2 linked regions of the Astyanax mexicanus genome follow. The protein of the gene in region 1 interacts with the protein of each later gene in a pairwise test. Links are inferred from orthologs where the notes say so. Each region holds a gene or a part of one and is shown on either strand. Other genes may lie near its edges. The genes, in order: aspartyl aminopeptidase and mpp1.

Evidence for each region.
Region 2: the proteins of aspartyl aminopeptidase (region 1) and mpp1 interact in binary tests that used the Homo sapiens proteins (3 or more experiments, as listed by UniProt). The two-hybrid records come from large-scale screens. The link is inferred for Astyanax mexicanus from reciprocal best matches to the Homo sapiens genes DNPEP and MPP1.

What each region holds. Positions count from the first base shown.
Region 1 is NC_064412.1:42,241,015-42,253,038, forward strand, and holds the start of aspartyl aminopeptidase, read left to right. Parts: upstream 1-6,958; 5' UTR 6,959-7,106; coding exon 7,107-7,112; intron 7,113-7,122; exon of another isoform or gene 7,123-7,293; intron 7,294-7,421; coding exon 7,422-7,512; intron 7,513-8,787; coding exon 8,788-8,876; intron 8,877-9,374; coding exon 9,375-9,488; intron 9,489-9,692; coding exon 9,693-9,818; intron 9,819-9,935; coding exon 9,936-10,060; intron 10,061-10,167; coding exon 10,168-10,252; intron 10,253-11,848; coding exon 11,849-11,956; intron 11,957-12,024.
Region 2 is NC_064424.1:19,031,331-19,043,620, reverse strand, and holds the start of mpp1 (55 kDa erythrocyte membrane protein), read left to right. Parts: upstream 1-6,102; 5' UTR 6,103-6,223; intron 6,224-6,471; 5' UTR 6,472-6,484; coding exon 6,485-6,607; intron 6,608-12,290. UniProt on the Homo sapiens protein: Essential regulator of neutrophil polarity. Regulates neutrophil polarization by regulating AKT1 phosphorylation through a mechanism that is independent of PIK3CG activity.

The sequences.
Region 1 (12,024 bases):
TCAGAAACATCACTAGATATATCATCATACAGCCCATTAGTGAACAAGTGTAGGCTGATATTACATATCTGATTAAATAAACAGATACGTATAAAGGTTTTGGAGCTTCTGTGTGTTTAATCAGGTCTTAAAGCTACTGGCATTAATGATCAAATAAGGGAGATCTGATACTTGGAGCAGTGGTCTATTTATATGCTGACTGGTTTAACACTCAGGAATTCCAGCATTACAAAAGCTTCTCTGGAAACCTTCAACCAGACGGAGATCAGAGCTGACGGAGGATGTAAACTCTCGCTCGTGCTCTCTCTCTCTCTCTCTCTCTCTCTCTCTCTCTTTCGCCTCCCTCTTTCCTCTACTTCCACCTCTCTCCACTCCGCACTATATAAGGTATAAGGTGTTGATGTTTAACTGCAGCAGATATGGAGGAGGACTTCGTGAGAGACAAGGTGGGCTTGCCAAAAGATTTCAATGTTAAATGAATTAACAAACAGATGGGAACAACTTACTGGATACGTTTACTACAAACCTAAAGCAGAGACAGTATGAAAATCACAAATTAAATAAAGACTAATGTTTTTTTTTTTTCATTTGAGTTTTTTTACTGCAGGTAATATAAACCCAATATGTTTTTTTTTTTTTATCTGCTTAACTTCATTTCATTTATTAATATACATATCGTCGCTGTCCAATGAAAAACACTTATCTCCAAAACAAAGCAAATTTAGAGGACAGAGAAAAAACCTTGTAAACTTTCAATGGAAAAAGAGTTTATTTCAGGTCATTTTGAAGAATTTCTATTGGTACGTTCATCAAGAAATTTAGCTACAATTTAAGTAATCTTGATAGTAATCTTGACTTGACTACAAAATAAGACAAGAAAACAACCAAACTTTATGTTATTAAAGCATGTTTACTAATACCTGAAGTCAGATTTTTTTTAAATCTTCATTGCTTTCACAATCTAGATTCCACTCGCATTTTTGGAACTGTTTTCACAGACAGTGATTTTTAAAAGTGTTCCTGAACCCATGCAGTTATTTAGTTTAGTGATTACAGTACAAAATCAGTACAGCCAGATTTTATAATGCAGTGCCACCTGAGGGCCTGAAGATCTTTTATATCCAATACAGACTGTTGGCCTTGTCCCTTAAACACAATGATTTCCCCAGATTCTTCTGATCTGATCTTTTGATAATATGGGCTGTTGATGATGAGATATCTAAAGTCTTTGCAACTGTTGAGGGGCAATTTTTAGCAGATTGGTGAAGCTCTGCCCATCTTTGCTTCTAAGAGAATTGCTTTTTGAAATACCTACCCACTGTGCAAAAGGACACTGGGCCAGATCCGTTTTGAATTGTGCCGGATCTGGGCCAGATCCTTTTTGCTATCTGGGTAGTAATGTGAGGTAGTGTAAATTGCTCCTATTGCAGCTCTTTTTATTTAGGATTTATTCAATAGAAGATACTATAATAGAAAAATATAAGATAATAGAAGAACTTTTCTAGTCTTTTGTTGCCCCCTCCCAACTTTTTTGAGATGTTCCAAATAAGTTGATATTTTTCATAAAGTAGTAAAATGTCTCACTTTCAATATCTGATATGTGCACCATGTTCCTTTGTGAATAAAATGTGTATCTACTGGATCATTGCATTCTGTTTTTATTCATATTTATTTACACTTCACACAGCATACTTTTTTGAAATTGGGGTTGAAGATCTACTGACTGGACTCATTGTCATGTTCATGAAAAGTGTTTTGAAACTATTTTTGATTTATGTTATAATGCACCATAATGCTGGAATAGCACAACAACTTACAAACAAAAATCAACACTCTATGTGCCAAATTAACACTGGAAAATGTACTGTGTATCTGTGAAATGTTCAAATCATTCTCAGAAACATGTCACAGCAAATGTCAACATGTACTAAAATAACAAAATGCAATGTAACATTCTGTACACGTCCAGAGTCCATGTGCACAGGGTGGACCATCTCCCAGACAACCCAGGAAGGTTTTCATGTTCCAGGAAGCAATGTTAATTACAGTCTGACCTTTTGCTACTTGATAACATTATTCATCAGAAAGCACTCTCACTAAGCGAGAAAAATATCACTGATTTCAGTGACAGGTCTATGTTCTGTTCTATTGTAAATTTATTTTTTCCATCATAAGTGAAGAAAGATTATTCTAAATAAAGCATTTTGAAATGCTTTGAGTGGTCCAGCGGACTATGGACCTGCCACTTTGATCAGGAGATCGCTGTTTCTAATCCCATTCACATAGCTCCCATCAGCTGCTGGAGCCCCGAGAGAGTACACAATTGGGCTTGCTCTCTCTGGGTGGGTAGATGGCGCTTTTTCCCCTCATCACTCATAGGCTGATGTTGATCAGCACAGGGCGTCTGTGAGCTGATGTATCAGTTTAAAAAGAGGCGGAGTCTGACTTCACATGTGTTAAAGGAGGCATGTGCTAATGAGTTGGTTGGGCATTTGGCCTTGTAAATTGGGGAGTAAATGCAATAAAAATTAGGGGGGGGAAAGGAAACATACCAAATGTCAGGCGAGGACTAGAGGGGTAAAAAGCCACCAGAACTGAGCTGTGAAGAAGTGGAATTGTGCAATCAAATCCTCAAGCAATGCAACCAAATCAAGCATCAATCCAAGTCTCTCTGGACAGTAGAGACAGTTACTCCAACAAAAGAAGAATAAACTCTTTTTTTAATACCCTTAATTTCAGAAGAAACAATGAAAGAGTACTTTTGTCCATACAATATATGAATATATGAAATCACACAGTCCCTACAAAATTCTCTCAAGCTTAAGTAAATTAGGAAATACGTGTCTTTAAAGATCTCAGTCCTGTTGACTGTGTGATGTGTGTTGGGGGGTGGGAGATGGGGTTACACTGGTAAGGCGAGTGGGGTGAGTGAGTCCAGCTCATGCTAATATTGTACTGGAACCAGGCAACAGTGCAAACACACACATACACATCCCACTATGTAAATGTGATGCCTATTATTGTTTTGCCACAGCAGAGAATTATAATGATCCTTCTTACAGTAATGTTACATCAGAAATTTTCAGAATACTGTGTCTTTTGTCCCTCACAACTAAAGAAAAACATTTTTTTTTATTTACCATATTTATAAGACTACAGACTATTTCCCAGCCTAATCACTTTTAATTTTCACTTTTTATTATCTATCATGCATGCATGAACTCATTAATCTTCATTGATGTTCAATAGACTCAGAAGTCTAAAGAAACATTTTGTCTATCGATTTAAAGGTCTCCTTCTGGGAAAGCAACGCGGCCAGGGGAGAGCGGCACCGCGGCATTTATACCGTGCTATATCTTTATAACTAAGGCTGTATCTCTGAAAACATTTTGTCCTTTGAGTTTTACAGCTGTACATTTGACTGTGGGGGAACGCAGGTAGATGCTCTGCTGCAGTGCTGTTATCCAATCAGAGGCGATATGTTTGCATGTATGAATATTTATGAGCAAGTGCCATAACCAGCCAAGACCAGTAATTTAATTATCTAAAGCAGGGCTATACAGAAAAACCAGCGCACTTTTTTTGCACAAAAAACAGCTCACATGACATTCATTCATATTAGAGATCACAACTAGACATTTTAAAAGGATTGAAAAATGACGGAATGAGACCTTTAAAGGAAGATGCAGGAGATCCTTAATCATCCAGCAAGATAATGATCCACAACACACTGCCTGGAAAAACATCACAGAAAAGAATGCACAAGTTTAGTGATGTCAGTGGCTCACAGGCTAGATGCAGTTATTGCAAGCTGTTCCAATACTTTTGCTCACGAAATGGGTGGGTTCAGGCATAAGGTGTTATCTTCTGAACTGTGTAACAGATTCAAATGTGAATATTTGTGAAATAGATGTGAAATAAAAGCTGAAATATTAATCTTTTATCTCATATTCAATATATAATATTAAACGCACATGGTTTTAATCTACAGCAGAAATAAAGGGATTGTTTCAATACTGTATATCCACCATCTCCAAAGAAGAAGAACTGTGTAACACATACATGCCTTACCGAGACATCTCGGTACTGGAGCTCTAGTAACAGCTCCTCTCCTCTGGAATGCAGTGGATATAATGTAGTGGGTTGTAATTAGACAGTGATTGCATTTCATTTTGGCACAAATTCCTGGCTGCTCCTAGATGAAATGCAATCCTGTGCATTGTAATTTACTTTTGAACATTTGCAGCGCCACACAGTGGAATACAATGCAGTTGAGCTGATTGCATTTTGAGGAGGTTGTGTGCAATTTTGACATGAATTTAGCTTTTGGTTTTGAAATAGTAAATTATTGTATGCTGTTTTTACAAGTGTACATACGTGCTTTAGACAGACAGACAGACCGATCGATAGATACTTTATTTACTGCGCTGGAACATCAGTTCACTATAGCATTAGCTTAAAGCTAGCATTTTTCTAATTACGACTCTTAAACGATCTTGAAATTCAGAGGATCCAGTTAAGTTCAGGAGGAAAATGTACACAGAATAAAACGTACAGGGGTCTGAACATATTCATTTACCACAGAATGTGATAGAGCTGGGTTTTTGAAATGCCCATTCATTTTTCACATAGGGAAAAAATGCTTAGACATGGAAGCCATACGAGGACTACAGAATGGCACACGACTTCAGTGGTCTATTTTTTTTTTTTCCTGGGTACACAGTTTTTATTAAATATGGATTTACAAACATATTGCTACATTTTCACATTTTCATCTACAATGTCCACATATTCATTTTTAATATTATGTAATCTAGGTGTCGTGTGGAAGGTGACCTGTGTAGACTTCTTACAGTCCGATATCCCACAATGCACCTCGCAGCAGTATCAGAGGTGGAGAAAGTAGGTACCAGTAGATTATAGACCACTGAAGTCGTGCGTCATTCTGTAGTGCTCGTACGGCTTCCGTGTCTAAGCGTTTTTTCCCTATGAGAAAAATGAACAGGGTTTTTAATAACCCTTCCTATCACATTCTGAGGTAAATAAATCTGTTTAGATTCTGTGTACATTTTACTCCTAAACATCACTGGATCCTCTGAATCATGAGATTGTTTAAGAGTCGTAATGAGAAAAATTCTAACTTTAAGCTAATGCTACAGCGGAGTGAACTGAACTCCCAGCCTAACTGCAGAGATCAGCCCGGGACTATTTTTGGCGCAACACCAGCAAACTTTGGCTGTAACAATACAGCGTACTAAACACAGTTGAGCCAACTAATGAACTAACTGCGTTGAGGAGAGCTGAGAGTGTCACAGCGTTAAATCACTAAAACAGGACAGTGATACTCCAGAACCAGCTGTAACACATTTTAACATTTACCCTCTTTATTATGCAGTGAAATAAATGGGTGTTTCTGGTTCATTGTTGCCTCAGTGAGGACAGGTAGTTAGTTGATTAGTTGATTAGTTAGTTGTTAGTTGATTATTTGGGTCAGGTTTTGTAATTAGTATAAACTAATGACCGTCATTAAATACTAAACCCTTCGGTGAAAGCACTGCTGAACTGAGAGCCACTTTCTCTTATTATCTGCCTTTTAAAGCTCTAACACAGACTACACTGCTCAACATTGCACTGCTCAACATTACTGAAAGAGTTTTCACCTGTTTAAATGCTTTAATGATCCTCTGTGAGGAAGAATAATAATCCAAAACGTGATCTGACAGGAGTTAGCTGGTGTTATGCAGAATCCAGTCCAGTGTCATTTCCAGCCGCTGTGCTGTGACGTCAGTTATGCATTAGCTTAAAGTTAGCATTTTTCTAATTACTACCCCTAAACGATCTCGTAATTCAGAGGATCCAGTGATGTTTAGGAGGTAAATGTACACAGAATAAAACGTACAGGGTTCTGAACATATTTATTTACCACAGAATGTGACAGAGGCCAGTTTTTGAAGAGCCCATTCAAATTCGCCATTTACATGGACCGCTTAGACACGGAACCCCAAATATGGGCATGAACAACATGGCGCCGACTACAAAATGATGACACGACTTCAGTGGTCTGTTATATGTTTTTGAAATAGTACGAAAAGCTTTATAACACTGAATCAACTGGTTTAGCTGCTCCGAAAGGCTTAAAACTCACAAACTAGTCAGTGTTAGTAATTAGTCTTCAGTGGGAACTCACCCATACAGTACTGTAGATCAGGGGTGTCCAAACTTTTTTTGTTGGGGGCCAGATAGAGAAATATATTTGAAGTCACGGGCCACACTCTGTAATAAAACAAATAATGAAATATACCAATTTAAATAATACTTTTTTCCTGATTATTTCATTTACACACCATTTTACTTGACTTACTGTCTTTATCTTTGACAGTGTTCTGTAAATTAAGATTTTTCAAATTGATGTTTAATTTCATGATGTCTCTTAATATTAAACTCCTTAATTACGGCAACGTTTAGACTCTTTTTAGAAATGCGCACTCTCTCCGCTTTTAGACTCTTTGGCCCGTTTTTCTGCGCTAGAAATGCGCACCCTCTCCGCTTTTAGACTCTTCACCCCGTTTTTTCTGCGCTAGAAGTGCGCACCCTCTCCGCTTTTAGACTCTTTGGCCCGTTTTTATGCGCTACAAATGCGCACCCTCTCCGCTTTTAGACTCTTCACCCCGTTTTTTATGCGCTACAAATGCGCACCCTCTCCGCTTTTAGACTCTTTGGCCCGTTTTTATGCGCTACAAATGCGCACCCTCTCCGCTTTTTATACTCTTCACCCCGTTTTTTATGCGCAAGAAGTGCGCTCCCTCTCCGCTTTTACACTCTTTGGCCCGTTTTTATGCGCTACAAATGCGCACCCTCTCCGCTTTTAGACTCCGCTTTTCTATTTCTAAAATACCTCGCGGGCCGCTCCAAAAAAGGAAACGGGCCGCAGATGGCCCGCGGGCCGTAGTTTGGACACCCTTGCTGTAGATCATTTAGTTTACCGTTGCTGTAACACAGCCTCCGGACACTAGAGGGCGGTAGGTGAGCGCTGCTCCGGCGCTTGATGCTGAGCTGTGTGTTTCTGTGGGGGGGAGACAGGACTGAGGGAGGACTGAGCTTTATTAATGCAGGTGAGCTGTGAGAGAGAGCTATAAAACTCCTGTCAGATAAAATGCCGGGCTTTAGCGGCTTCTGAAGGACTGCAGTTTAACTCCACTAGGCTCAGCTAAAATAAGATAAGCTAAGCTAACTCTGTGTGTGCCTTACTGTCAGCAGCAGCAGCTCCTGGTGTGTAACCCCGGCTGATTTCCCGTCAGTAATCTCAGTGAGCTCTCTCTACACTGAGCTCAGTGTCTCAGTAAACAGGAATTCAGACGGGCTGTTAGAGAGAGTGTTAATCTGCCTGTGGTTCTGATCTCTCTGTGTTCTCTGATTCTCAGTCCTTCATCATGAAATCCTCTAAGGAAGCTGTTCATGCCGCCGCCAAGGAGTTCCTGGGTTTTGTGAATCGTGGAGTTTCGCCGTATCACGGTAGGAAGAACAGCTAACTACATATTCGCGTCTTTCCCCACCTAAATCACACCGGTATCAGCTAGAAATACTAACTCAGTTATTGCTAGTAAATCTATAATTCCACATCTCTTTAATTGTGGTTTATATGGGTATAAACCCTCAGATCTCAGTTATAATATGTACGATACCACTGGTTTGCTCTGAACTGAAGTGTTGATTTGATAAAGCAGATAAAAGAGTGTAACTGTGTTTAAAGGAGAGCATTTCTCAGTTTTTGCCACTGAACTCTTTAGTTACTCACTCTCCTGCTGACTTTCTTTGCATAAAAAATATATTTTTGCATTGCACCTTTTACTGTTTGATGGAAAAACAACCTTTAAACAACGTTTATTTAACATTGTCTAACAAGCATCGCTTAGTGTTGAAATTCTGACATTATATCAACCTTTATTTAAAGGTTTTGAAAGATTCGGGCTCTGAATCTACACTCTACAATCTGCTTTTAGACAAAGTGTGCCTGTAATAATTATGTTAAGAATAATTAATATAATGTATATCATTATTATTTTAAATGCCCTCCTTTACACTGCAAAACACAGTAAAACTAAAAGAATATAATGCAAACAACACCTATCTATTTAATGTAAGTTTATAAGTATATTCTTATGTTGAAGATCGACATTGTTTAAATTCATTAGACATGAAAAAGTGTTTTGTCAACATACTTTTGCAATTTGTGTCTTATCTATAATTATTTAATTCATTAGTAAATCTCCTGTTACACTGCATATGTCTGACACGCACCTTACTACTAGTGAAAACTACATATCTTTAATAAGAATTTACATTCGTCACTATGTTTGTTCAGACTATATATACTTATATAGTATACTATATACTATATAGACTTTTTACTAGTCAGAATTACGTTTGAAGATATCAGGAACTATAATTGCTACTGGTAATAAAGTAATTATATTTTAGGTTAGTGTATTTACAAACTTCAAAAGTTGGATTTAATAAAAAAAAGTTGTTGATTACTGCCCTCACATACAGCCTGTATATTTATATATTTGCATAAGGTATTTGTATTTCTTTTCTTATTCCCATTATTATTGTTGTAAAGCTATAAGACAGTTTCACAAGTTTACCATTGCACTTTGCCCTGAAATAATAATTAGTGTTCTGTATTGAATTTCTATTCATTAAAGGATCCACTTTGTGTTTTCTCTCATTGTATCTCTCTGTTTTATTTCTTTGGTCATAATTCTTGTGCATCTTTCTGTTTTGCAGTGGTGGAAGAGTGCAAATCACGTCTTTTAAAAGCTGGCTTCACAGAGCTGAAGGAGTCTGAGCATTGGGACATCAAACCATCTAACAAGGTGTGCATATGTGTGTCTGGTTATGTGTTTGTGCGTATGCAGTGGCAGGTTTGGAACATGTTTCGGCTGACAACCGCTGTAGCATACTGGCAAACCTGATATTGCATATTCACATTAAGTGCTTAGAGTTTTTCTGTCAGTGTGTGGCTCTGGTTTATGCTGTGCTTTATGCTATGTTTTGAAACTGTAAAATCTAGGTGTCTATCTTAATGTTAGCTAATATAATGCACCTTTCTCTCATCTCGTCTATTACTGTCTTTCTCTTGTATCGGTCTTTTGAGTCTTTTTTTGTGATTTATTGCGTGCGTGTGCTCGTGTGTGTGTGTGTGGTTGGTTTCATTAAAGCTATTCCTTGAAGGTATCCATATATATTTTGTGTGGTTGAGACATATCTTCAGACAGAGGTTTCCTTTTGAGCCTGGCATGGTTTTGCAGATGTTCTCACACGTTATTTTCTGTACTGATTTATTTATTTTATTTTTTGTATGTTTCCTATAGTACTTTGTGACCCGGAACTACTCCACCATCATCGCTTTTGCAGTGGGTGGCTTGTACAAACCGGGCAATGGATTTTCCATGATTGGAGCCCATACAGACAGCCCATGCCTGAGGGTGAGAATAGGCACTGTGAATATGAAATAATATATATAAAAAAAATTGTTTTATCTAGTCCCTGAACTGAAACACTTCCCATATTGTGTAGAATAAAAACGTTGAATTATTTTCAGCAATCCTAGTTGCAGATGTTTGTATAATTCAACTTTATTTGTTGTTGTAGCTGCTAAAATGTGTTGTTTCATATGTTTGTACGAGTAGGTGAAGCCTCGCTCTAAGAAGACGAGGTTGGGCTGTCTGCAGGTCGGTGTGGAGTGTTACGGCGGTGGAATCTGGAACACCTGGTTTGACCGGGATCTGACTGTTGCGGGTCGTGTCATGGTCAAGGTACACGGTCTGATTAGATAAACCACAGTAGTTCAATCTGCATGGCTCACCAGTGCATTTTAACATAAATGCTTACACGTCATATTTTCTCTCTGTCTGTCTGTCTGTCTGTTTTAGAGTGGAGATAAGCTGCTGCATCGCCTGGTGCATGTCCAACGGCCCATCCTCAGGATTCCTCACCTGGCCATTCACCTGCAGAGAGACATTAACGACTCCTTCGGCCCAAACAAGGAGAACCACCTGTAAGTCTCTCAGAGCATCAGTGGAAGTAGGGCTAGAGAGAGAATAATTTATAGACTATTAGAATCTGATTTGTGTGCGTGTGTGTGTGTGTGTGTGTGTGTTTTAGAGTGCCTTTCCTTGCCACTGCAGTTCAGGAAGAGTTGGAGACTGGCTCAGCTGCTTCTGGTGATGCGTGTAATGCAGCAACCACAGTAAGAATTTTTTAAAGGATAGTAAATTCAGTTTAGAGTAGAACAGGTTATGACAACTCTTGTTGATATATTTCCCTTTAAATGCTAGAAATACATATTTTGTTTCAAATGTTTATGTAAACAACCAGATGTGTTTTAATTGTAGCCGTTCACATAGCCTATGTGCTCCCTGTGTTACCAGAGGCTTCCACTAGAGTTCTCTTATTGCCACAGTGGCATGAACACATCATACAGATGCATTTAGCTTTTCTGCAAAACTCTCCATCAGACCGATGCTGCAGAGTGCTGCACAGCAAGTACATCTCTAGTCTGAGATTCACATATATGTATCACCGTATCATGGAACCAGTGATGTAATAATTTAGAAACACACTTGACCATCTTGCCCAGCAGTTTAACCTGTCGGTAGCAGTATACACACACACACATATAATACAAATACATATGTACTAGTGAACAGGACATTGGGAACATACACTACATGCAGTACCAGACAGCCACCCAAGCATCCAGGCTGTATCTGGGTTCCTTTCTTAAAGATAAGTTTATTGTGAATGTTAGGGTAGCCACCTCTGTGCTCCCTCAGTTTCAGGCAGTTTTCATATACAGCTCTGAAAAAAAATAAGAGACCACTTCAGTTTCTTTTATAGGTTTATGTTTGAGTAAAATGAACGTTGTTTTATTGTCCCAAATTCCAAATTAAACAAAGACATCTAGAGCATTTATTTGCAGAAAATGAGAAATGGCTAAAAAAACAAAAAAGATGCAGAGTAATCAGATTTCAAATAATGCAATGAAAACAAGTTCACATTCATAAAGTTTTAGGAGTTCAGAAATCAATATTTGGTGGAATAACCCTGGTTTTTAATCACAGCTTTCATGCATCTTGGCATGTTCTCCTCCACCAGTCTTACTTTCTGCTTTTGGATATCTTGATGCCAGTCCTGTTGCAAAAATTCAAGCAGTTCAGTTTGGTTTGATGGCTTGGTTTCCTCTTGATTATATTTCAGAGGTTTTTAATTTGGTAAAATCAAGGCAACCCATTATTTTTAAGTGGTCTCTTATTATTTTTTTTTTTTTTTTTTTTTTTACCAGGGCTGTATATTTTCATATAATCCAGCACTGTGGGCAGCTGCATGCCAGTTGCTCGGAAAAACCTGCAGAGGCAAGTTACTTTGCAGGTTTGGAACCACAGGACTAAGACTATTTTTGCACAGATTTTTATTTTATTTACTGAGAAAGAAACAAAACTTCAGTGTTTTATTTGTTATGTTTTGTTTAAAAGAGTTAGTGAAGTAATGTTTTAGTCATGCTCATGTCTTTCACACATGGTGAGGTATAATACAGTTTATTAATTCCACAGTTGTATCGGATCAGTACGTTTATCTATCAATATTGGAACTGAGAAAGACTGATTGCTGCATGCCTCAGGAGTATTATCAGGAATGCCCTGTGTCAGTTATACTGTTTCATTGCATGGCATCTTTAATATAGATCACAGCAACCTATTTTAAAGTATTTTTTTGTTCTATGTCTTTTGTTATAATGGATCATTTGTTAGTGTTTGTGTGTGTGACCTGTCATTTCACTCCTCAGCCAGAGAAGCACCACCCGGCTCTGATCCGGCTGCTGTGTGGGGAGCTGGGGGTGGAGCCTGACACTCTGCTGGACTTTGAGCTGTGTCTGGCAGACACGCAGCCTGGGGTGAGTCCTGCTGCTCTCTGGGATCAGAACATCAAAACCTCAGTGTGTGTGCTGTGGTTCACACAGAT
Region 2 (12,290 bases), on another chromosome or scaffold:
TTTGCCAAGTTAACTGACTTATTTTAAAAAAGCCTAAATGGTTGGTTCTACCAACTGTCCACAATCAAAGCTAGCCTTTGTTTGCAGTGGTGCATGTATTTAGGAGGTGACTTTCAATCAGACGTAGGCCTGTCGCAATAACAAAATTTTCAGGGCGATATATTGTCCCAGAAATTATTATTACGATAAGCGATAATATTGTCATTTTAAAGCGCCACTATAGAAAATGCTTTTTTCCTGCTTCTGGGCTTTCCAAAGGAGCTTAAAGACAATGTGCCACAGTAAAAAATATATTAGCATAATAATACTATTACTCCATTTTAATATGAAAGTAACTTTTTATTATTAAGAACAGATATAGGGCTTCGAATATAAAAATATAATATCCTAAGTACATAAAACAAATATAGTACAACCACTCTGGGTTCTGAGAAAACAACACTAAATATTAAACAGACTTTTATAGATTAAAAATGTAACAACAAAATAGACTAAAGTAACATTTACATTAATATTTTTTTTCTGTCCATATATGTGTATGCTATAAAACTCAAATTGGCTCAAAAACACAAGTGTCCATCTAATCAAAGACACGGAAAGCTCAGCAGCTCATAGCTCTTTCTATAAATGTATTTTTAATGTAACTGTCAGACAGATCCAGAACAAGGAACACCAACTTGTTTACCGAGGCAGGATCTCTCTGGGGTACCAATATTCATATTAAATATTTAGCTTGGACAATTGGGCTGGATGGTTGTGCTTTAAATGAGATCTCAGCTTCGCTGCCACTGTTTTGAAACAAAGTAAACATACGGGCTTACTCGCGTTGATGGGTTCTCCTCATTCATTTGGCTTAAAGCCAAAATACTCTTACACCGGAGCTGTGGAACTGTAAAACAAAGTCAATCCAGTTGCAATTCATTCTCATGTAAACAAACCCCCACAGAAACACATGGGCTGTTATCGTCATCGGCAAAAATGATAATAAAAAATAAAAAATTATTGTATGATAAGTCAAGGTGTTATCCTTTTCTCCAGTCTGCTCGGAGGGCATGTCAACTATGTTTAAAAGCTGTGTTTATTATGCATGTGTGTTTATATAAATCTACATATATAAAGTTAAATTAATTATGACAAATAAACATAAACCCTGGAACAATTTATGTCCATTAAATACAGCAATAATGAGAGGCCCTCTTGAATATGTGTCATGTGGTCGGTATGTGTAAATGTGGTTCACAAAACTCATAAAATACAAATTCACAAATACATTATTGTATGCAAATACAAACCTGTTTAACTGAAACATAGTTTACCTACAATAAGTGAATGTTGACAATTCTGAAATCAGTAATTCCGAAATATAAAAATGAATATAATTCATAATAATGTATGCTGCTATATCTTTATATTTAAATAATGAATAATTCCATACATATAAATGTATGTAAAAAAGTTTGTATCTAACTTAAATTGTGTTATCAGAACACATCACTGCGTTACTACAGGCAATACATTAATTGCATAGGTTTTTTTTTATTTATTTATTAGTTTTTAGAAAAATAAAAGGGTTAGAGGGTTTTCCTTTGGTTTACTGCGGTTAGGGTGAGGGTTGAGGTTAGATGTCAGATCAGAGCATTTCTCAGTTACAGTAATAGGAGTCAATGGAAATACCCCACAAAGACAGGAAGACAGGAAGGTCTGCAAGTGCGTTTGCATGTGTGGCAGTGTGTGGGAGTCCCCATGTACTAATGACATGTCTTCAACTTTTGCACATATATTCAACTGGTATAATCTATTGCTCTTTAAGCTGTTCATTTTTCCACATTACATGACTTATTATATGAGTGCTACTTTAGGTAAAACTAAGGTTTTAGCTAATCTTTCTATCACTTTGCTGTTCAGAGGACAAAGCACATAAGCAGGAAAATTAAACACATACAGAGTTTGTTTTTTAAAAGAACGGCTTTTAACATTAATTTAATTAATTTAACTTTATTTACTAATAATAAAAAAGTGAATTGCTGTTATCTGTTCATAGAGTGATGACTAGAGCCATGGTTACAGACTGAAATTTCAATTTAAATGCAAATGATAAACCGTGAACCTCAAACAGTATTTATTTTACTGAATTATTAATTCAGCATAACCAAAACTATAAAACTATAGCTGTACAATTCCAACACCTCATTTTATATACACTTCTAAAATTAACATGTACCCAGTGCATTAGAAAGAGCCGTTCAAAGGCCTAATCAAAGATAAGACAAGTGCCTTTTCAGGTAAAAAAAGAAAGCAAGTGGGTGTTCATTTAATATTAAAAATATATGGATTGGTCCACTCAAAAATAATACAGCAGAAAAAGCATGAAATTGTTTTAAATTAAACTTTTGCGTGCTGTGTTTGTTGTTAGCAACTGGCGCTGACTGTTATGTGGTCTTTCACTTTGTTTAGGCTTCAGTTCAGATGCCTGTTCAGAAATATCTTGCAGTCAGCAGCAGCTTCACTGACCCGAGCTTTCGCCTCATTGGGCACCAGCTTTACACGCAGGTTGGTGATGAGAGCAATGAATCTCAACAATAATAATATAGTGCAATAAAAACGACTTTTGGATAATGTCTTGTTCTGCTAATAGACTAGGAGGGTTTGGGTTATCTAAAGTTTATATTATCTGCTGCCAAAAATATTTTTAATAAAATGACACCATCATAAGAAGTAAGTTACTTTCAGTAGAAAAAATAAATAATAATAAAATAAAAAATATAGTTTTTACTTCACACTTTTTTGTAAATATACAACAAAATTTACATGCCAATAATAATAATAATAATAAGAAGAAGAAGAATCAAATCTGTTGCTATATTATTTAAAATATTAGATGAAAACTTATCTAATATTTTTGTCATATATTTATATTATTCAGACATTACATGCATAATTGTTTCTAACAACAGTAAATGTAATGTGAAGTAACATGTTTAGGTTGTAAAGTGACCTTTAGTTGGATCTAATAATAACCAGAAGTACAGAAAAAAATGTGATTAATCGCTTCTACACCACTTACAGATGGGTGCTGTGAAGTTGTCATTGTGCCATCTCTACCAATCAGCAAAGATATTAAAAACTGTGTTGGACTCAAGCCCTCAGTTCTCCAGCATCAGCCTCATAGAACTTCCTCAGCTAGATGGGCCTAGTTGTCTCGTTGTGTTTTTTTGCCAGTGTTTGGTGTGTATTGTGAGTTACACACCAGCAGATGGCAGCAGATTTTCAGAAAAGAGACTCTAAAAACATTTGTTCTGTGAGGCACGTGGTTAGTTGCCATTCTGGTGCCCATTTGGTTCACAGCTTAGATGTACATTGGTCATACAGAACATGGAGTGTATCTATGTTGACCACTTCATGATATCATTAAATGGTAATGGTGCGTGTTACTATTTCACAGTAGATCTGTACTCCTAAATCTTATCCAATGGTGATGTATGTGCCTCAGACCTTTTAAAATATTTGGAACGTTCCTTGCAGCACTATGTCCTTCATTTAAACTCACAAAGTCCCTAACTAACATATACTCAACATCCTGAGCGGATTACATGGCAATGTGTGAATCTGTGTTCATTCATCTGACCTTATTTACCGAATGTAGGAGTGCTGGGTTAGTGCTGAGATAAAACTAGCTACTTTTAAAATGTATTATTAACTTCTACAGCTCTGTTACAACCATTTAACAGTTCAAATGCTTTAAATAGTATAGGCCTGATTTCTGGAACAAAATGTTCAAATACAAGTTATCAGGATTTAACCTTAAAGTATTTACATAAGAAAAAAAAAACAGGAATGAGCTGCTTACTGATTTTTATCTTACTCAGTTTTTAATTTGACATCAATATTGACAAATGGGTCTGGGCTCTTATTGGTTAAGGAAATGGCACTCAGTAAAAGCTGCACATCTTAAAGTCAACATGCCCAGTGCCAACTTCAGCTAGAAGGGGTTATTTTGAAAAGGGACAAAAAGCTCACAAGTTTGTTCTGCAATGGCAGTGTTTCTGACATTTTGACAGCATTCACAAATTCTGAATATGTGAATGCTGATGACATTTCAACTGCACACACAAAGGCGTACAACACAAATTGAAAACATTGGAGTTATAGATATTGTATGTGCACTATATTTACAGAGCTGTAGTGCCAAATACTATAAAATTATACTGATTTACAACATTATGATAATACTGTATCACTTTATAATGTTTATCTCTACGTAACATATCTAGGGTATGTAGGAAACTATAGTAATTGCAATACACACATTGTGTACAATTGAATAAAAAAAAACTGAAGTTGAAAATACCAGTCTAGCTCCACTAAGACTGCAACTTTTGAAAAAAAATAATTTATTTATGTAGTGTTTTATAATACTTCAATGATCAGCTATAATGTTTTCTCCTCTCTACAGCAATATATGGCACTTGTGTAGTATCCTGAAGTAAAGAAATATTGTAATTATGTAAATGTACTCCAGGTAATTTACAAGGATCCCTCTTGTAGTGTTGTAGTGGCACGTGCTTAAAATCTGCTTTTAAATTCTACTTTTTATATTTGTTCAAATGCACATATATTTATTTAGATTAAATAAATGACTAAAGATGAATAGATTTAATATTAAATTGTGTTGCACTGTATACGATTATTTAAAGCTGCCTCGCTTGTGTAATGAATGCTGCTCTAAGGCAGCTTTATAAAGCTGATTAACTCATTAATGCATGCTACCTTAATAAAATGCTATCAGTGAACCAGATGACGGCAGGCATTGGATGATCAATGGAAGCACTTCTAACAAGATAAGATTAACATTTTTGAATTGCTAGAAAATGCATTCTTTGTTAAGTGTCTGTTAGTGTTAATATTTGCGATTTATTGTTTGATTGAATACTGAATAGAATGTTCTAAAAAATAAAGAGAAATTTTTATTTACATAATTGAATCAGTATTTAGTTATTTAAATGTTTATTGTGTAAGCAATTTATATTTCAGAAACATCAATACAATTTTCTTCAAAACAATGCAAAACCAAATGCAGCACATATCTACTGACGTAGAGAGTAGAGATACTGGAGTGGCCTGCCTGCAGTTCCTAGCTGTCCCTAATAGTGAATGTGCAGAGTTTTGAAATTAAATGTATGTAGGACTGTTTGCAGGAAGAATGGGACAAACTAACACCAAAAAAGAATGGCAACATTGACAGGTGGTAAATGCTTTACCATTCCAGCTATTTGGGATATCTACTTGGAGGAACCACCTTGATTTTCATATCCCATAGCCAATATTGTATTGGATAAAAATAAAAGCTCTTGAGCCCATAATAAGCTATTCAAAGGGCTCTGACACACTAAAAATAAAAGTCTAGGCTTTTTAAACAGTGCAATGTATAATAAAGCGGTTGAATATCCTGATGTCAATGTGAAACACAATAAATGAATGCTATTGAAATGTATACTGTAAATGCCAATAAAAATTATTTTGAAGTTTGTGACATTTGGACAAAATGTTTGATACATAAAAATATATAAAAATATTTATTTGGTGGCAAAAAATAAGCAGTATTGAAAAAAACTTACTCTCTGCTGAAAAAATATATCAAACCACTATAAGCCCAAACTTCTGAGCCTGGTAGCTGGTTAGACCCTCTAAATCCCGCTTGTAGCAAGTAACGTACCCATATTTTAGGATTATTAAAGGAAGGTGATAAAAATACAACACGTCGTTGTGGACTTTTTGCCTACCCTTACAATGGCAAATGCCATGCTAGCTAACGCTATATTTTTTACAGTAATCTTGCAGATATTCGTATATTTGTTTTGACAGCACTGCACTGTTTGTTTTGGCCGCCATATTTGAACCCGTTAATGTTGACATTTCCACAGCGCTCGCGTTAGTTCTGTACAGGCTCATTGCAGAACTGGTTAATGTTGTTTAAGGTTAAGACTTGGACAGCTCTCTCAGAGGCTGTTGACATTTCCACCACTCTACCACTACACACACACTCTTACACACACTCGCTCACACACACACACACACACACACACACACACATTCGCTCAGTCTCAGCTTTAGCATTAGCCCCCTCCTCCCTCCGCTCCGTCATCATATCCACGTAACTGCTCCGCTCTGATGGAAGCTGCAGCGAACCCACCCCCAGGTTTCTCCTCCTCCAGAGCCTCCATACGTAAGTGTTTATGCGCTTTTGTCAGCTGGTTCTCCACAGCAGTAACAGCAGTAGAAGCAGCAGGAGCTCCATCGCCCTGAACTTCGGACTTCGAGCAGGAGCTGAACTTTTATCTCACACTTTATCTCCAGCTTCCTTATCGCTCTTTTTTCCGCCCTCAAGACTCCCCTCTCTCTCTCTCTCTCTATCTCCCCATCTGACCAGAGGTTATTTTTTAACCTCTATCCCCCACCAACCTTTTTTTGCAGCGACTCTGTAGATATGACGTTAAAGTGCAGTAAGAACGAGCCTGCCGTCACTCTGGAGCGGGTGAGCAGCGTCCGCACGGCTCTCTCGGACCTCTACCTGGAGCAGCTGCTGCAGAACAAGCCCAAGGCTGACAAGGTGAGTAACCTAGCTAGCTGAGAGCCCTGTACTGAACCCAGTTCAGTACTGTCCTCAGTGCTCTTCCATTTTCCCCTCTTTCCCTTCATCCCTTCCTCTTCCTCTTTTCCCTTTCTCTCGGTAGCTTTCAGGTCTCCTCCTCGTGTATCGTGACTGTATTCGTTTGGTCTTTGCTGGCCTGCGGTGTAGGCAGATGTGGTGGTGCTGGTTCAGACCGGCGCAGCCCGGTTTGTGTTCAGCATCATCATCATCATCACCAACATCAACAACATCACCCCCAGCCTCAGGCTGCTTCAACTTCAGCCAATTCACAGCACAGATCAGCTGGAGCTGCTAGTAGCTGCACTGCTGTAGACCCCAAAATCCATCTAGCACTGACTGTAGACAGTATAAAAAATATATGTACTATAAAAAAAGATGCAGAGCTTTCAGACCTCAATAGAGTTCAGAAATCAATATTTGGTGCAATAACCCTTTTTTAATCACAGTTTTTATGCATCTTGGCATGTTCTCCTCCACCAGTCTTACACACTGTTTTTGGATAACTTTATGCCAATCCTGGTGCAAAAAGGCAGTTCAGCTCGGTATGATGGCTCGTGATCACCCATCTTCCTCTTGATTATATTCCAGAGGTTTTCAGTTTGGTCAAATCAAAGAAACTCATCATTTTTAAGTTGTCTCAATTTTTTTTTTCCAAAAAAACAAAAGTGCTCAAGCTGTTCTGGAGTTTTTGAAGGGATGCCATAAAAGAACCAATTTTGGTTTATATATGATATATATATATATGAAAATATAAGATATTTAGTTCACAATGGTTCTTTAAACCCCTTAAGAAGTGTTTCTTCAAGGACTCTAGATAAATGCTAAGTGGTCTTCAAATGAGACCATATAGAGCTGGTCAAAATGGTAAAAAAAAATTAATGATATTTAAATTTTAAATTAATATTATTTTTTTATTTTTCATGATACGTGGTTTCATGATATTTATCGCAATATTTAGACTCACAGACTGAGGTCAGTGTTTTTTGTTCAAAATATGCAATTAATCTAATCAAACAGGACTTATTACACTCGCTGTGATTAAATGTACAGTTGAATTAGTGTTCTTGAATTAGTGTTCTTCATTTATCACAGTGCACTAAATAATTGTAGGGCTGTAACTAATTGTTAAATTGGTAGATACCTAATCTGATGGTTATTTTTCTGATTGGTTGTTGATTAGTCAACAGTTATTTCTGCCATGCCCCCATCACTTTAAAATGAAATAAACATCTGAAAGTGGGACTTAAGTTCCCTGTAAATGCATAAAAGATGTTTAAATGTGGAATATGGGTTTTTAGAGAGTAAATATGTAATCTGTTGTGTGTGGACACTTTTGGAGACAGACCAGGTTGTAATTGTAAACTATGTGAATGAGCCTATGAACTCTTTTTTCCATTGTGTTTTATTCCCTAACACTCTGTGTAGAGCACTGGTGTCACAAATTAACTATTTATAGAGTTGACAATTTTCATAGTTGACATTGTCGGTTACATCTTGGCAGTTCTAAAATATCATCATACTGCCCACCGTTTCTTAGGAGAAGCACTTTTGGTTTCTATATAAATATTTCAGTGGATGTTTCTTAGCCCTTAGAAGACTCCTCTTAAAGAACAACCCTAGAAATGCTTGGTTCCATAGAAAAAAAGAAAAACATTGGATTCCATAACAAACCATGTTTGTGTAAAGTACTTTTAAATTGGTAAAATTCTTGAAACTATTATAAGTTTTTTTTTTCATACATATTTTTCTCACATATTTTATAACAACATGGTTCTTCTGTGGCATTTGTCATAGATCCCATTGTACCATTTATCACAAATATAAATGGTATTAAAGAGGTTTAATACATCTTTACAAATTAGCTTTTTAGACCTCTTTTTAGACTAGAGTCTCTTTTAGACTAACTAGAGCACTAGTTAACTAGTTTTACTGTGGATCAAGTTGGGGGATCAAGACCCAGGTTTGCTGCACTGCCACTGTTGGGCCCCTGAGAAAGGCCCTTGAGCATGTGTGTTTGCTCAATGGTGAATAACACACTGTGTGTGTATTCATTGCACAGAGGGGTTAAAGGCATAAGTCAAATTCCATCTGCGTCCAACATAAAGGGTTGACTTTGTCTTCGTTTTAAAACAAAAAGGGTCTTTTATAGTGTTAAAAGGGGGTTCTTTGACTAGTTAATATGGTGGAATCCTCTAGGGTGCTATATAGAGTTTTAATGGTTCTCCTGGTGTATTGTGTGTATATATAAACAACACTTTTAACCTATAAAATTGCTTCTCTTACACACAAATCTCTGGTCTTTTTCATCACAGAAATACATCAGAGTATTGATTAATTGATTGATTATTTTGCTCTGTTCTCATGTAACACGTGACATGACTCAACTCCAGTCATTATTGGAAGCCCAGTTTATAAAAGCAGGCTCATCACTGACTAATGTATTAGCACAAAAAACACTGTGATGTAATCAAACAGACAAAGAGCCATCTTCTGAGACACACTAGCTGAGAACATCTACGTAAAAGGAACACATGCTCTGTTAATCGTTAATCTTACAAGTGCTGTTCTTTGGTTGACGTTGTTATGAGCCTAATGCAGTTTTTCTCTGATTAGCCTGACAGATTGAAACCCACCCATTGGGTCGTTAATGTATACAAGGGTCTAGAGATAATGTTCTTTGAAAGGATCCGAAACCGTTCTAGGTGTGAATGTGTAGCTGGGGGAAGGGTTAACGAACAAGACCAATCTGCCCTCTATTGTGTCATCAGGAGGGTCTTTATAAGCCAACTGGAGCTTTATTGTCTCTTCAGGAGAAGGTTGAGACTTTAAGAAGCAACCATATTAGACTGACTTGCATTAGAGTGGCTTTTGTGGACAGATTGTTTCGTAAAGACTTTGGTCATAAGCACAAGCTACTGCTGAGTTAATCTGCTCGGTCAACAGCGGAGGCTTCGTGTTCATAACAGGTCAAAGACCTGCAGTAAAACTTGTGGTATGTAGGAACACGCAAAACAAAAGGATTAAATCTGACTTTACACATATGAGTCATCTGGGTCCAAGAAATGTGACACGTGAACTGGTACCTTGAGGTCCATTATGATAAATGGAAGGATAAAGCCAATGTAAAAAAAGAAAAAATATATGTATATATTTTCTTCAAAATCATCAGATTATGGGGCATGTGGTCCTGTCATGATAACCCAATTTCGTGGACAATATATTGTCTCAGAAATTATTTCGATAAACGATATTATTGTCATTTTTAGACTATTAAATGCCCTTGATATAATGATAATGAAATAGCACAACAAAGCATTCATATAATTTTAAAGACAACAGTCCTGCACTGTGTGTATGGAGTCACCGTTATTGAAGCATTGGTCTTTGCATTGGACTGTTATATATTTTTTACTATATTTTTTACTAAATATGCTGTATTTTGGTTTTGATTAAATAAACACTGATATTTTAGCATTGTAGTGTTATTAAGATTTTCGTCATATCATATCTAATAATATAGTGTCATTTCTTTCACGCGTACCGAGATATGAGTGTTTTAGTTCGATTAAAAATCACCCAGCCCTTGGCTGTGCTATTGATTATATTAGCAAGTAACAGATATAATGCTCATTTTGAGACTTTCAGTTATTCACAAAAATGTCACTAAAAATATAGATTTACTGGATAGTGGGTCAGTTTAGGATTTAAACATATAATTAAACATAGTTTTGTGCCACCTGCATTATCAATTTTCATTTAATTTCCAGTCATATATAAGTCATGTACACTTATTAAAGAAAACACATTTTATTTCAACTTCTGTCAAGTTCCTACTGGTAAAGGATTCATTTTCTGTAGTAAAAGAGGTATTTGAGTAATAATAACATCATTTTAAGTTTTTTTTTTTTTTAATAAAAAGATAATCATTAATCGTGGCACCCCTACTTGTAATAGTATCAAATGTAGTTTTTTCACATTCTTAGCAGCGTAAAGTGACGAAATGTTTTTTACAGCACTAATTGAGGCTATAAAAATGTGCGGTGGCATCCCACACCTGTGAGAAGATGCTGACTTAAGGAATAAATGCACGCTAGGGACACACTTGCTCTGGACTGCAGCAGAACACTTTAGCTGCAGTGCGAAAATGCTGGGCATAGTCCATTACTATCTGAAATTGCTTCTGTCCTGACTCTCTGTCCTTATCTCGTCTCTTCTTACCAGCGGGCGTTTGAAGCTATTTATGACCGGGTATACTTTTATCTAGATGTTCCATCAAAGAGCACATTTTATTAATGTTTCAAAAGCACAAAAGGGTCAGTAGAGGTGGGCAATTACTTCTATGATTCATTTCAAATGATACGTATGCGGCACTGTTGATTGAGGAATATGAAAACCCTGTACACCTGTGGCAATGGAATGTCCCATACATCTGGCATCCACTATCAGGCTTTCACCTCTTCTTGCCTTGAGTCCACTGGCAAGTATTCAGTATCTCTCACATAATAACACCTTACAACTTATACTGTATTTTTCGCACTATAAGGCGCACCAGATTATAAGGTGCGTTTTAAGAGACACTAAGTTAAGGAGTAGCTAACTAAGTTAAGTAAAGCTAAGCTAAGTAAACAAAACTGTAAGTCAAACGAGTGCTGTATGTTAATATACACAGATTTCTCTCCTGAAAATTTGGTTGAGTGAAGCGCATCTGTTTATTTACAGTAAGCTTAGATTCCCGAAATTCTCCAGCACTAAGGCTGGAGCATTGGCATTAGCGGCTAATGCAATCTGACAGCACTACACTGAGGAACCCTAAATGTTCCGGTAACCTAGGGTGATATTAGCTAGGAGTTCATCCCACATAGCTTGTTTTAACACAGTAAATGCACAGGCTACAGTCTGCTATACTCCCCTCTGAACGACAAACGAGCTAGCGTGGTTAGCGGCTAATGCTAATCCTGCTCCAGCAGTGCTAGTCAAGGTTAGCAGCAGGCTACAGGCTGATAATACTCACCTTTGAACGGGGAAATAGCGGTTAGCATCTACTGCTAATGCTACTCCTGCCTCGGCATGTTTTCCCTGCAGGCACATAACAGTATTAGACTGAAATTTTTTTGTCATCTGACAAAATGTCTGTTGACGTTGGTGGCCAGCTGGGTTATATACTGTAGGTTTAGGGACATACTATATCAAGTCTGAGAATCATATAAACATATTCAGGACATGCATATATATATACGTAATTAACCTATGGTGACCTATTGACATGTATGGAATTTAGTCAGTACTTTCAGAGCAATGGCTGATGGATGCACATATGTTAATTTCTCATTTGCCTCCAGTGAATAGTCGCTGTTGTTGGCGATAATCCATTCTTAGTCATGTATCAGAGGAGCTTCATCTGTCAGGCTGAAGAGTCCAGGCACACTATAAATAGATACGGTCGCGTCTGCCTGCCGTGCCATGTCTCATCGCTGCAGTGGAAGCAGGGAAGTCTGGGAAACAGCTTGAAGCTGGTTGCGTAACACAAACCGTGTCTCCCTATTCTCTTGTTTGTGCCAAAACAACAAGTCCTTCTGTGACCCTTTCTATTTAAATGAAGCACAGTGGGACAGAATAGGTCTTTGAACACAGATATTTTGTC